3 linked regions of the Macaca fascicularis genome follow. The protein of the gene in region 1 purifies or fractionates together with the protein of each later gene. This does not show direct contact. Links are inferred from orthologs where the notes say so. Each region holds a gene or a part of one and is shown on either strand. Other genes may lie near its edges.

What was found.
Region 2: the proteins of TUBG1 (region 1) and LGALS3BP purify together in Homo sapiens (affinity purification with mass spectrometry; 3 studies listed by BioGRID and IntAct, counting the BioPlex papers as one, with this or other methods). This does not show direct contact. The link is inferred for Macaca fascicularis from reciprocal best matches to the Homo sapiens genes TUBG1 and LGALS3BP.
Region 3: the proteins of TUBG1 (region 1) and CCT3 purify together in Homo sapiens (affinity purification with mass spectrometry; 3 studies listed by BioGRID and IntAct, with this or other methods). This does not show direct contact. The link is inferred for Macaca fascicularis from reciprocal best matches to the Homo sapiens genes TUBG1 and CCT3.

The regions. Positions count from the first base shown.
Region 1 is NC_088390.1:63,667,309-63,671,054, reverse strand, and holds the start of TUBG1 (tubulin gamma-1 chain), read right to left. Parts: upstream 2,457-3,746; 5' UTR 2,402-2,456; coding exon 2,353-2,401; intron 2,031-2,352; coding exon 1,918-2,030; intron 1,716-1,917; coding exon 1,548-1,715; intron 81-1,547; coding exon 12-80; intron 1-11. Other genes in the region: RETREG3 (reticulophagy regulator 3), read left to right, coding at 2,822-3,060. UniProt on the Homo sapiens protein: Tubulin is the major constituent of microtubules, protein filaments consisting of alpha- and beta-tubulin heterodimers. Gamma-tubulin is a key component of the gamma-tubulin ring complex (gTuRC) which mediates microtubule nucleation.
Region 2 is NC_088390.1:85,383,701-85,387,446, reverse strand, and holds the start of LGALS3BP (galectin-3-binding protein), read left to right. Parts: upstream 1-1,473; 5' UTR 1,474-1,631; intron 1,632-3,746.
Region 3 is NC_088375.1:104,748,142-104,751,787, forward strand, and holds part of CCT3 (T-complex protein 1 subunit gamma), read left to right. Parts: intron 1-1,808; coding exon 1,809-1,926; intron 1,927-3,646. UniProt on the Homo sapiens protein: Component of the chaperonin-containing T-complex (TRiC), a molecular chaperone complex that assists the folding of actin, tubulin and other proteins upon ATP hydrolysis.

The sequences.
Region 1 (3,746 bases):
GGGACACTTACCTCTAGACTATCACTACCATCTGCCTCCCGGTCTATGATGTCAAAAATGTCCTCGTGGATCTTTTCTCCCTGTACAGACATAGGGGAGGGTCAGAGTGGGACAGAACCACGGGAGGACTCCGACCTCAGAAAAGCCACCCTCAATTCTCCTTATAGCACCCAGGAGTCCTTTTATGGAGTACAGCTGCCTGCTTTTTATCTACATTGAGAGGCGGTACGGTGCAGTGGTTACAAGAAAGCACTCTACACCCAGACTACCTGGGTTCATACATTAGCTCTATTTTTTTTTTTTTTTTTTTTTTTTTTGAGATGGAGTCTCTCTCTGTCTCCCAGACTGGAGTGCAGTGACCTGATCTTGGCTCACAGCAACCTCCACCTCCCGGGTTCAAGTGATTCTCCTGCCTCAGTCTCCCCAGGAGCTGGGATTACAGACACGTGCTATTTTCTGTATTTTTAGTAGAATCAGAGTTTCACTATGTTGGCTAGGCTGGTCTTGAACTCCTAACCTCAGGTGATCTGCCCGCCTTGGCTTCCCAAAGTGCTAGGATTACAGGCATGAACCACTGTGCCCGGCCCATTAACTCTACTTCTATGTAGCTCTGGGCAGCTTATTTAATTGCTCTATGCCTCAGTTTCCTCATCTGTACAATGAAGGTAATAATACAGGTCCATATACCCTTATCTAACAGTGTTGGGGCCAGTTATATTTTGGAATTCAAAATATTTCAGATTTTAGAAAGTTATTACAGTATATATAATATATATTAAATAAAATTCCAGTGGGAGTCAGAAGCACGTTAATCACACATATTAGTATTTCTGTAATAAAAGGCATCAGTAATGACAATAAGTTGGATAGAAAGTATGGGGCCGGTGCGGTGGCTGAGGCCTGTAATCCCAGCACTTTGGGAGGCCGAGGCAGGCGGATCACGAGGTCAGGAGATCAAGACCATCCTGGCTAACACGGTGAAACCCCATCTCTACTAAAAATACAAAAATTAGCCAGGCATGATGGCAAGCGCCTGTAATCCCAGTTACTCGAGAGGCTGAGGCAGGAGAATCGCTTGAACCCCGGTGGCAGAGGTTGCAGTGAGCCAAGATCATGCTACTGCACTCCAGCCTGGGCAACAGAGTGAGACTCCGTCTCAAAAAATGATAATAATAAATAAATAAAAAAGAAACCGCCTGTCTTCATTGAGATTTGTTTTTGCTGCTGAACTAGTTATGAAATGTCCTTTGGTTTCATGGCTTTCTGGATCCTGGAAAGGCACATAAGGGACTGTGGACCTGTAGTACTTACTTCTAGGGTGGTTGGGAGATTTAGAAAAATTAATATATGTAAAGCACTTAGAATGGCCTGGCACACTGCATTAGCTAGCATAGGCGCTTGACAATATTACATGGTCCACTCCCTGCAGCCACGTCTCTCCCTCCAGCATTCATACATCCCTGATCTGGTTTCCTCTCTCCCTGGGACGTCATAGGGCCTGTCCCTACCCAGGGAGTTGTGGGCCCTGTCAGGGAATAGGAAACGACCTGGGAGAATCCACTGGCCCAGTTGTTGCCAGCTCCTCCTCCATGCTCCGACAGGTAGATGTTCTCTGGGTTGTAGAGCTTGGCATAGGGGGAGTTGAGGATGGAGTGGATCACCCGGGGCTCCAGGTCCAGCAGCACGGCCCGGGGGATGTAGTGCTCATCGTCTGCCTGTCAAGGGGAGTCCAGGAGGGGGCCCAATCAGCTAGGGTGGCCCAAGTCCTAAGTCCTCCCAACTCTGGCTCCCTCCAGCCCTCCCTCCTCAAGCCAGCCGCCTGGCCCCACTGCCCAGCAGGGTTCCCAGTACCAGGCCACTCCCTTCCCTTCTGGCCCCTCGGGCCATTGCCGCCCTTGGCCAAGTCGCTGGGGGCACCTGGTAGAAAAAGACGTCCTTGCGGTCAGTGCCTTCGGTGGCGAACTCCTCCACGATGCCCTCGGGGCTGATACCATGCTCAGCGCACAGCTGTTTCCAGAACTCGAACCCAACTGGGGGGGAAGGGGCAGGCAGGGGAGAAAGAAGATATCTAGTTCCGGGCAGGTTCCAGTCAGGAGCGGAGGGACTGGGCGCCTGCGTCCAGGAATAAGAAGTCAAGCCGTAGGACTCTCCCGTGTCTGAGGAAAGGACTGTACGCCAGGGACAGGGCAGGGGAGGGCCCCTCGGGGCTGGGCAAGTGGACACTGGGTCAGGGATGTCTCGCCTTTCAGAGAACTACGATTCTGGCAAGGACAGATGGAGTCCAGGATCCTACAGCGAGATCACATTGACCCTAAGGAACCTGGCTAGCTGAGGGGCCGGAGTTTCGCTCACTCTGATTGCCGCACTGGCCCAACTGTAGGGTGATGATTTCCCTCGGCATCGCTCCTCAGGCACCGGCGTTGCAGCCGCTCCCGCCCGCAACGCCGCCGCACGCCAGCCCGCTCGCCGCAAGACGCAGGCGCGAAACAACAAGCTCCACCCACGACCTTCATCCGCTCCAATGAGAACCGAGTTCTGGCAATGAATGGCATGTCTTTAAGCACTGGCCTTCATTCATGCAGATTGCGCGTGCGCGGCTTCTGATCGGGCTCTGAGCCGACAGATCAGGTTCCGCGCCTCAACGATGGCGGGGTACTTTGACTCGGCGTCCTCCCTCCCCTCTGGGTAGACGCCCGCTTGGGCCTGCGCGCAAGCGCGCTGTGGTGCGAAGCGGCCTCCCACGCCGAATCGCGCATCTGCGCAGTTGCTGTTATTGTGACTGTCGGGCCACGGCCCCGGATGTTGTGGCTGCCGGGGGGAGATGGCGGAGGCCGAAGGGGTGGCGGCGACCCCAGGCCCGGCTTCGGGGTCGACTTTCAGGGGCCGCCGAGATGTGTCAGGCTCCTGGGAGCGGGACCAGCAGGTTGAGGCGGCGCAGCGGGCCCTGGTCGAGGTGCTGGGGCCTTACGAGCCTCTGCTGAGTCGGGTGCAGGCAGCCCTGGTGTGGGAGCGGCCAGCCAGGAGCGCCCTGTGGTGCCTGGGGCTGAACGCGGCTTTCTGGTGAGAGAACTGGACCCTCGGAAACCCTCCGAGTCCCGAATTCGTCGGTTCCTCTAGGGCTGTACTCGCCTGCCCTGTTTTCTTCGCTGCACTGGCTCCTTCCTGTACCTGCCTAATTTTGCCTCACCTCTTTCCACTCCATCTCGCCTGCAGGCTTGGGCACCCCAGTTCTTCCCAGGGCCGTCCACCCGTCTTCTCTGCCTTACCGGTGCCCGCACCTCCGCCGTGCACATCTGGCGGGAGCTTCTGGTAACATCTTGAGCCGCTCAAGAGTGAGCTAGGGCGCCTCTTTTGAGCCCGGGAAAGCTGCGTCCCTTTAAAGCCATCACTTCCTTTCTCTTGTCTGCTCAAGTGCAAGTTCTAGATTGTTTCCAGAGGTTTTAGTAGTTGTTGTTGGAGTACAGGCGTGAAGTCTTGCAAAGGTATCCATAGGTGTGATTTTAAAACAAGCTTGAGCGATTCGCATGAATTAGCATGTTGTATATCTAGGAAGGAAGTTTATGAAGTCTGAGCGTCAGTGTGAGCCCCCAAAGCTGAAAATTGAAAGAAAAGTACAAGCTTTTAAAGAACAGTTAGGAAATGACGGAGATTTCACCCGTTTCAAAGCCACCTGTGATTGTAACTCCTCCCTGTTCCAAGGAATTAGAGAGGCATCCTTAGCCATTGTTTATAGGCAAAGAAATTGA
Region 2 (3,746 bases), about 22 Mb from region 1:
GGCTCACTGCAAGCTCCGCCTCCTGGGTTCACGCCATTCTCCTGCCTCAGCCTCCTGAGTAGCTGGGACTACAGGCGCCCGCCACCGCGCCCGGCTAATTTTTTGTATTTTTAGTAGAGACGGGGTTTCACTGTGGTCTCGATCTCCTGACCTTGTGATCCGCCCGCCTCGGCCTCCCAAAGTGCTGGGATTATAGGCTTGAGGGCATCTGAGTTTTAAAACATTTCCCAGCACTTCTCAGAGGTGCCTTCCTGTCCTCGGCACTCCTGTGCTTCCCTGGCCACTCGGGCAGAAGTCATTAGCGCTGCTGAGAAGGGATGAAGCTGGGGTTTCTGTGCACCGAGGCCCTTAATCCGGATGAGATTTTTTAAACTCCCCACAGCCTGCTATGCCAGTTCTATTTCCAGCTGCATCTGCCCCTGGGTCTTCACAGCTCCTCTGGAGGGGATTAGGCAAACCATGCAGCTGCCTATAACCTCACATCTTGAGGGAAATAGTCATTGAATCTCTGACCTCTGGGCTGGCTGTCTCGGACTCTGAGCTGCCAGGGAACCAGGACTTTCCACCCGGTGGGACTGCCTGGGGGCTTTTGAAATGCCCCTGCCTGTCCCCCACTCCCGGAGATGGTGACTTCCTGGGTCTGGGCATTAGGAGTTTGTAAAACTCCCCGATGATTCTTCTGTCCAGTCCAGGCTGAGAACCACTGGTCAGAGGCCTGGGCACATCCCAAGGCTTGTCCAGAATCACGGAGTGCAAGTGACAGAAACAAAAGAGGCTGCTGATTGCCTCACTGAGCAGGTGAAGCCCAGGCTTGACCACTGATTAGGCCAGTTGGACCCAGGAGTTCAGGCCGGAGGATGCCTGCTTCCCTCTGCTCTGTCCCATGGGCCCCAGCAGCCTGGGCCCACATCCTCTCAGTCGGAAGCCGGCTCTCACCAGCTGGCTGGGCTCACAGCCCCACCCTGAAACCAGTAGTGTGGCCCGGGGGGCCCCGCAGGGCTCAGACACCCAGGCCTTGGGTGGTTGAAGGCCAAGAGCTGGGGGCCGTCTGGGAACCACACAGCCTGGAGTGGGAGGGGGTGCTCCTCAAGGGACAATTGAGGCGCTGGCTTTCAGTGGGAGGAAAGGGAATGGCTATGAGCTGGACAGAGCCATTATGTCACCAAGAGAGGCTCTGTGCCCCGGCACCAGGTGCAGACTGTCTGGGCCCAGAGCCTCTGCTGCTTCCCCTCCCGTCCCCCAAACACCAGCCCCTGGCCAGCCTGGCGGCGTTTCCGACTGAGTGTGGCTGTCAGTCCTCTTGCGGGCCTTGCTCCAGCCAGACTCCCGCCTTGGGCCTCTGCCAGCCCGGCACTGATACCCACGGGCAGAGCTGAGACGAAGGAGAGGGCCCCTGGGGAGTATCCGCAGCAGCCAATCCCAGAAGACATCGATGTCAGGTGGTTTCTAGAAATCGAAAGTAGACTTTTCTGAAGCATTTCCTGGGATCAGCCTGACCACACTCCACCCTGGGAGAGGCTTCTGGGTCAAAGGAACAGTCTGCAGAGGGCTCTTGTGGCTGGAAGTGACGGGGCTGCAGCACAGCCATCGCAGCTGCCCCAGCCAGGTAAGCTGCTGCCTCCAGCTCCCAGGTGGGCACCTCTCTCTCTCTCTCTCTCTGTTTTGTTTTTTTTGTTTTTTTTGTTTGTTTGTTTGTTTTTTGTGACAGGGTCTCACTCTGTCACTCAGGCTGGAGTACAGTGATGCTATCTCAGCTCACTGCAGCCTCCGCCTCCCGGGTTCAAACGATTCTCCTGCCTCAGCCTCCCAAGTAGCTGGGATTACAGGCACGCACCACCACGTCCAGCTAATTTTTGTATTTTTAGTAGAGACAGGGTTTCGCCATGTTGGCCAGCCTGGTCTCAAACTCCTGACCTCTGGTGATCTACCCGCCTCGGCCTCCCAAAGTGCTGGGATGACAGGCGTGAGCCATCGCGCCCGGCCAGGGCACCCCTCTCTCTACACAGGCAAGTGGGGGTCATGCCTCCCTGTTTGCACATAGGCCTGGAGCTGGGGATCCAGGGCTCCTGAGCCCAGCAACAGTCATTGCTGCTCCCAGGCCCACAGGACCTCTGTGTGCAGTTGGGCAGGTGGCACGAGGATACCAGCCAGAGGGCGAGTGGGTTAGAATCCAGGTTGGCCTCTCTCGGGCCTGTGCATTTGGCCTAGGCCTGCACCCACTCCTAGGAAGAGCACCTTTTTTTCTGATTTGCATGAAGGGGGCAACACAGGCAGCCGGGTCTCAACTCCCCGTATGAAGGAATCAGGCAAAAGTCCCAGCCGCTGCCACCCAGAGGGCGGAACGCCACCTGCCAGGTGCTTCGTTGCCCACTTTTTTTTTTGAGACGGAGTCTTGCTCTGTCACCCAGGCTGTAGTGCAATGGCTCACTGCAACCTCTGCCTGCCAGATTCAAGCAATTCTGTTGCCTCAGCCTCCTGAGTAGCTGGGACTACAGATGCGCACCACCACGCCCAACTTCTTCTCCTTCTTCTCCTTCCCCTTCTCCTTCTTCTTTTGTATTTTTAGTAGAGGTGGGGTTTCACCATGTTGGCCAGGCTGGTCTCGAACTCCTGACCTCAAATGATACACCTGCCCCAGCCTCCCAAAGTTCTAGGATTACAGGCGTGAGCCATCGCGCCTGGCCACTTGGCCATTTTTCCAAGGCCCTGAGTTACTCTCCCAGGACGGACAAACCTGGTGGCTGCAGCGGAGTGAAGTGGCTGGGTACAGAAGTGGAGAGGGCGTCCACCCATACCGGCGTGCCTGGGACTGAGGGTTTCCCAGGACACAGGGAAACTTCAGTGCTAAAACAAGCACAGTCCCCAGCACACAGGACAGGCAGTCACACCCTGGTGTCTTTAGCCATCTACTGACATTGACGCAGGGAGGAGAGGTGGGCTCCACCGAGCAGACCCCCTGCCTATGGCTGTGGACGTGGAGCCCATTTACCTCTCTGGGTGTCAGCTTCTTCACTTGTAAGGTGGGGTGTAACTAAGGTGGTTCTCAAGGTCACGGTAAGGCCTCCAGTGGTACCTGGGGAGCCCTGATAAGGGGTGGCTGCGCAGTGCCAGTGAGCGTGAGTCCCAGAGCAAAGCTCTCACCAGCCAGGGCACCCAGCTCCCAGGGTGCTTGTTCATGCAGACTCCCATGCAGAGGGGCTAGGGCGAGGCCAGCCATGACAGCACTTCCAACAAGCTCTGGCGATGCCATTGCAGCCGTCCACCAGGCCCCCTCTGAGCAGCCTCAAGGTCACCAGGCCCAGACTCCCAGCCGGTGCCCACAGCAGTGCCACCCAGAGGCCTGCCCCTGGCTTGCTGAACTGAGGGGACAGTGTCACAGGATTCTTACCGAGCCAGAGAAGCCATACCTGTCTCTCCATTGGCGGGGTGTGGGGGAGGGAGGCAGGCGAAGACAAAAGCGTGGAAATTACACGGAGGCAAGAACACCAGGCCAGAAGGCGGAGACCCGGACCTCCCCAACCGCAGCCTGAGTGTCAGTGTCTTGGGGATACTTCAGCATTTCCTCCCCGTTCTTCCCCCAGCATGGCCCACCCTGGGCTGCAGCCCTGACCCTTTTCCCCTATCTTCCCCATCCGAACACCATGGAGCCCCGATGTGTCTCCTTGCTGCTTATCTGTCACCCCGGCCCAGCCTCCGTGGCCTCTCCTGACGAGTCCCCTCCCATCCACTCTGCAGGCTGCCTTTGC
Region 3 (3,646 bases), on another chromosome or scaffold:
ATCTCAGCTCACTGCAAGCTCCGCCTCCCAGGTTCACGCCATTCTCCCGCCTCAGCCTCCCGAGTAGCTGGGACTACAGGCGCCCGCCACTTCGCCCGGCTAGTTTTTTGTATTTTTTAGTGGAGACGGGGTTTCACCGTGTTAGCCAGGATGGTCTCGATCTCCTGACCTCGTGATCCACCCGTCTCGGCCTCCCAAAGTGCTGGGATTACAGGCTTGAGCCACCGCGCCCGGCCTTTTTTTCTTTTTTTTTTGAGATGGAGTCTCACTCTGTCACCTAGGCTGGAGTGCAATGTCATAATCTTGGCTCACTGCAGCCTCCACCTCCGTGGTTCATGCGATTCTCCTGCCTCAGCCTCCCAAGTAGCTGGGAATACAGGCACTTGCCATCATGCCCGGCTAATTTTTGTATTTTTAGTAGAGACAGGGTTTCACCATGTTGGCCAGGCTGGTCACAAACTCCTGACCTCAGGTAATCCATCTGCCTTGGCCTCCCAAAGTGCTAGGATTACAGACGTCAGCCACCACACCCAGCCTTAATTGTGCACATTTTTAAATTTTAACTTTTTCTTTTTTTGAAACAAAATCTTGCTCTATTGCCCAGGCTGGAGTGCAGTAGCGTGATCACGGCTCACTGCAGCCTTGACCTTCTAGGCTCAATGAGCTTCCCAACCCAGCTTCCCAAGTAGCTACAGGCAAATGCCACCATACCTGGCTAATTGAATTTTTTTTGTAGAGACAGGGTTTTGCTATGTTGCTCAGGCTGGCCTAAAAACTTCAGGGCTCAAGTGATCCACTCACCCTAGCCTCCCAAAGTGCTGGGATTACAGGTGTGAGCCACCGCATCCAACCCTGAATATTCTTTCAAATGTAAGTTTTTGTGTGTTTTGTTTTTAGTTCCAGCAGTTTGACTAGATCCTAAGGTATTAAGGTACTAATAAACAAGTCAGTTTTTCTTTTGTGCATTTTTATTTTATTGCCTTTAGGGAAATTTTTTTTTAGAAAGATCAAGAGAAGGCCAGGTGCAGTAGCTCACGCCTGTAATCCCAGCACTTTGGGAGACCAAGGCAGACAGATCACCTGGTTCGAGACCAGCCTGGCCAACCAACATAGTAGAACCCATCTCTACTAAAAGTACAAAAGTTAGCTGGGTGTGGTGGTGCATGCCTGTAATCCCAGCTACTTGGGAGGCTAAGGCGGGAAAATCGCTTGAACCTGGGAGGCAGAGGTTGCAGTGTGCAGAGACTGCGCCACCGCACTCCGGCCAGGGTGACAGAGCGAGACTCCTCAAAAAAAAAAACTAAAAAGATAAAGAGAGTAAGTAAGCCCTGGAATCATTCTTTCATCATTTTATTTGTTGAGACAGGGTCTCACTCTGTCACCCAGTGCAGTGGTGCAGTCAAGGCTTATTGCACTGTCAACCTCCCAAGCTCAAGTGGTTCTCTTAACTTCAGCCTCCTGAGTAGCTGGGACCGCAGGCTCGTACAACCACACTAAGCTAAATTTTAATTTTTTTTGTAAAGACAGGGTCTCACTATGTTGCCCAGGCTGATCTTGAATTTCTGGGATTACAGGTATAAGCCACCATGCCCAGCCTGGTCTTTTAAAAAATGGACAGCAAGGATGTTTTCTGTATGAATTGCCCTGTCTTACACAAAGTGTAAAATTTGGAATAGTATGAATGGCCAAATGTCATATCTTTTGGGAGAGTCTGATTTAGGAGAGTATTTTTTGGAAGAATAATGAAGTTACTTGCCTTGTTATCCAGATACTTTTAAATATTACTGTGGTGCTTATATCTTTTTCAGCAGGGGAAATGCTATCTGTAGCTGAGCACTTCCTGGAGCAGCAGATGCACCCAACAGTGGTGATCAGTGCTTACCGCAAGGCATTGGATGATATGATCAGCACCCTAAAGAAAATCAGGTATCTTGGGGGCAAGAAATAGGTAGTATCAAATATGATACTGGCCAGAATTGGTGGCTCATGCCTGTCATCCCAGCACTTTGGGAGGCCTACGTGGGTGGATCATGAGGTCAGGAGATCGAAACCTTCCTGGCCAACATGGTGAAACCTTATCTGTACTAAAAATACAAAAAATTAGTTGGGCATGGTAGCACATGTCTGTAGTCCCAGCTACTCGGGAAGCTGAGGCAGGAGAATCTCCAGAACCCAGGAGTCAGAGGTTGCAGTGAGCTGAGAGAACCCCATTGTACTCCAGCCTGGTAACAGAGCAAGACTCTGTCTCAAAAAAAAAAAAATTAGCCGGGTATGGGTGGCGCACACCTGTAACCCCAGCTATTCGGGAGGATAGGCAGGAAAATTGCTTGAACCCAGGAGGCGGAGGTTGCAGTGAGCCAAGATCTCTCCATTGCACTCCAGCCGAGGCAATAATAGTGAAACTCCATCTCAGAAGAAAAAAAAAAGCATATATTACCTCTAGCTTCAGAGAATTTTAGTTAAGGTTTAACATCGTGTGGAGTCATGTAGAGCAGGTCTTGAATAAACATTTTTGTTTAAAAAGTAAAACTTGGCAGGGCCCGGTGGCTCGTGCCTGTCTGTAATCCCAGCACTTTGGCCAAGGTGGGCGGATCACGAGGTCGGGAGTTAGAGACCAACCTGGCCAACATGGTGAAACTTCGTCTCTACTAAAAGTGGAGAAAATTAGCTGGACATAGTGGTAGGTGCCTGTAATCCCAGCTACTCAGGAGGCTAAGGCAGGAGAATTGCTTGGACCCAGGAGGTTGCAGTGAGCTGAGATTGTGCCACTGCACTCCAGCCCAGGCGACAGAGTGAGACTGTCTCAAGAAAATAAAAAGTAAGACCTGGACTGGGCGCGGTGGCTCATGCCTGTAATCTTAGCACTTTGGGAGACCAAGGTGGGTGGATCACCTGAGGTCAGGATTTCGAGACCAGCCTGGCCAACATGGTGAAACCTCATTTCTACTAAAAATGCAAAAATTAGCCAGGCGTGGTTGCATGCGCCTGTAATCCCAGCTACTCAGGAGGCTGAAGCAGGAGAATCACTTGAACCCGGGAGGCGGAGGTTGTGGTGAGCCAAGATCACGCCATTGCACTCCAGCCTGGGCAAACAGCAAAACTCTGTCTCAAAAAAAAATAAAAATCGATAATGTATTCTTTTTTCCATGCCTGACTGGAAATAGTTTGTTTGTTTTTTTCTTTTCTTTATTTAAATGTTCTACTCATATGGTTGAGTCACTAGATGCATAAGTATTTAGTAATTTGGTGAGGTTTATATTATACTGTCTGCGCTTTTTTTTTTTTTTTTTCCTAAGATGGAGTTTTTGCTCTTGTTACCTAGTCTGGAGTGCAATGGCGCGATCTCAGCTCACCACAACTTCCGCCTCCCGGGTTCAAGCGATTTTCCTGTCTCAGCCTCTTAAGTAGCTGGGATTACAGGCATGCACCTCCACGTCCAGCTAATTTTGTATTTCTGGTAGAGACGGGGTTTCTCCATGCTGGTCAGGCTGGTCTCGAACTCCCGACCTCAGGTGATCCACCTGTCTTGACCTCCCAAAGTGCTGGGATTACAGGCGTGAGCCACCGTGCCCAGCCATATACTGCCTGCTCTTAAACAAGTTGTATACTAATATCTTTGTCTGGCACACTTAAGGAATGAAGTGTT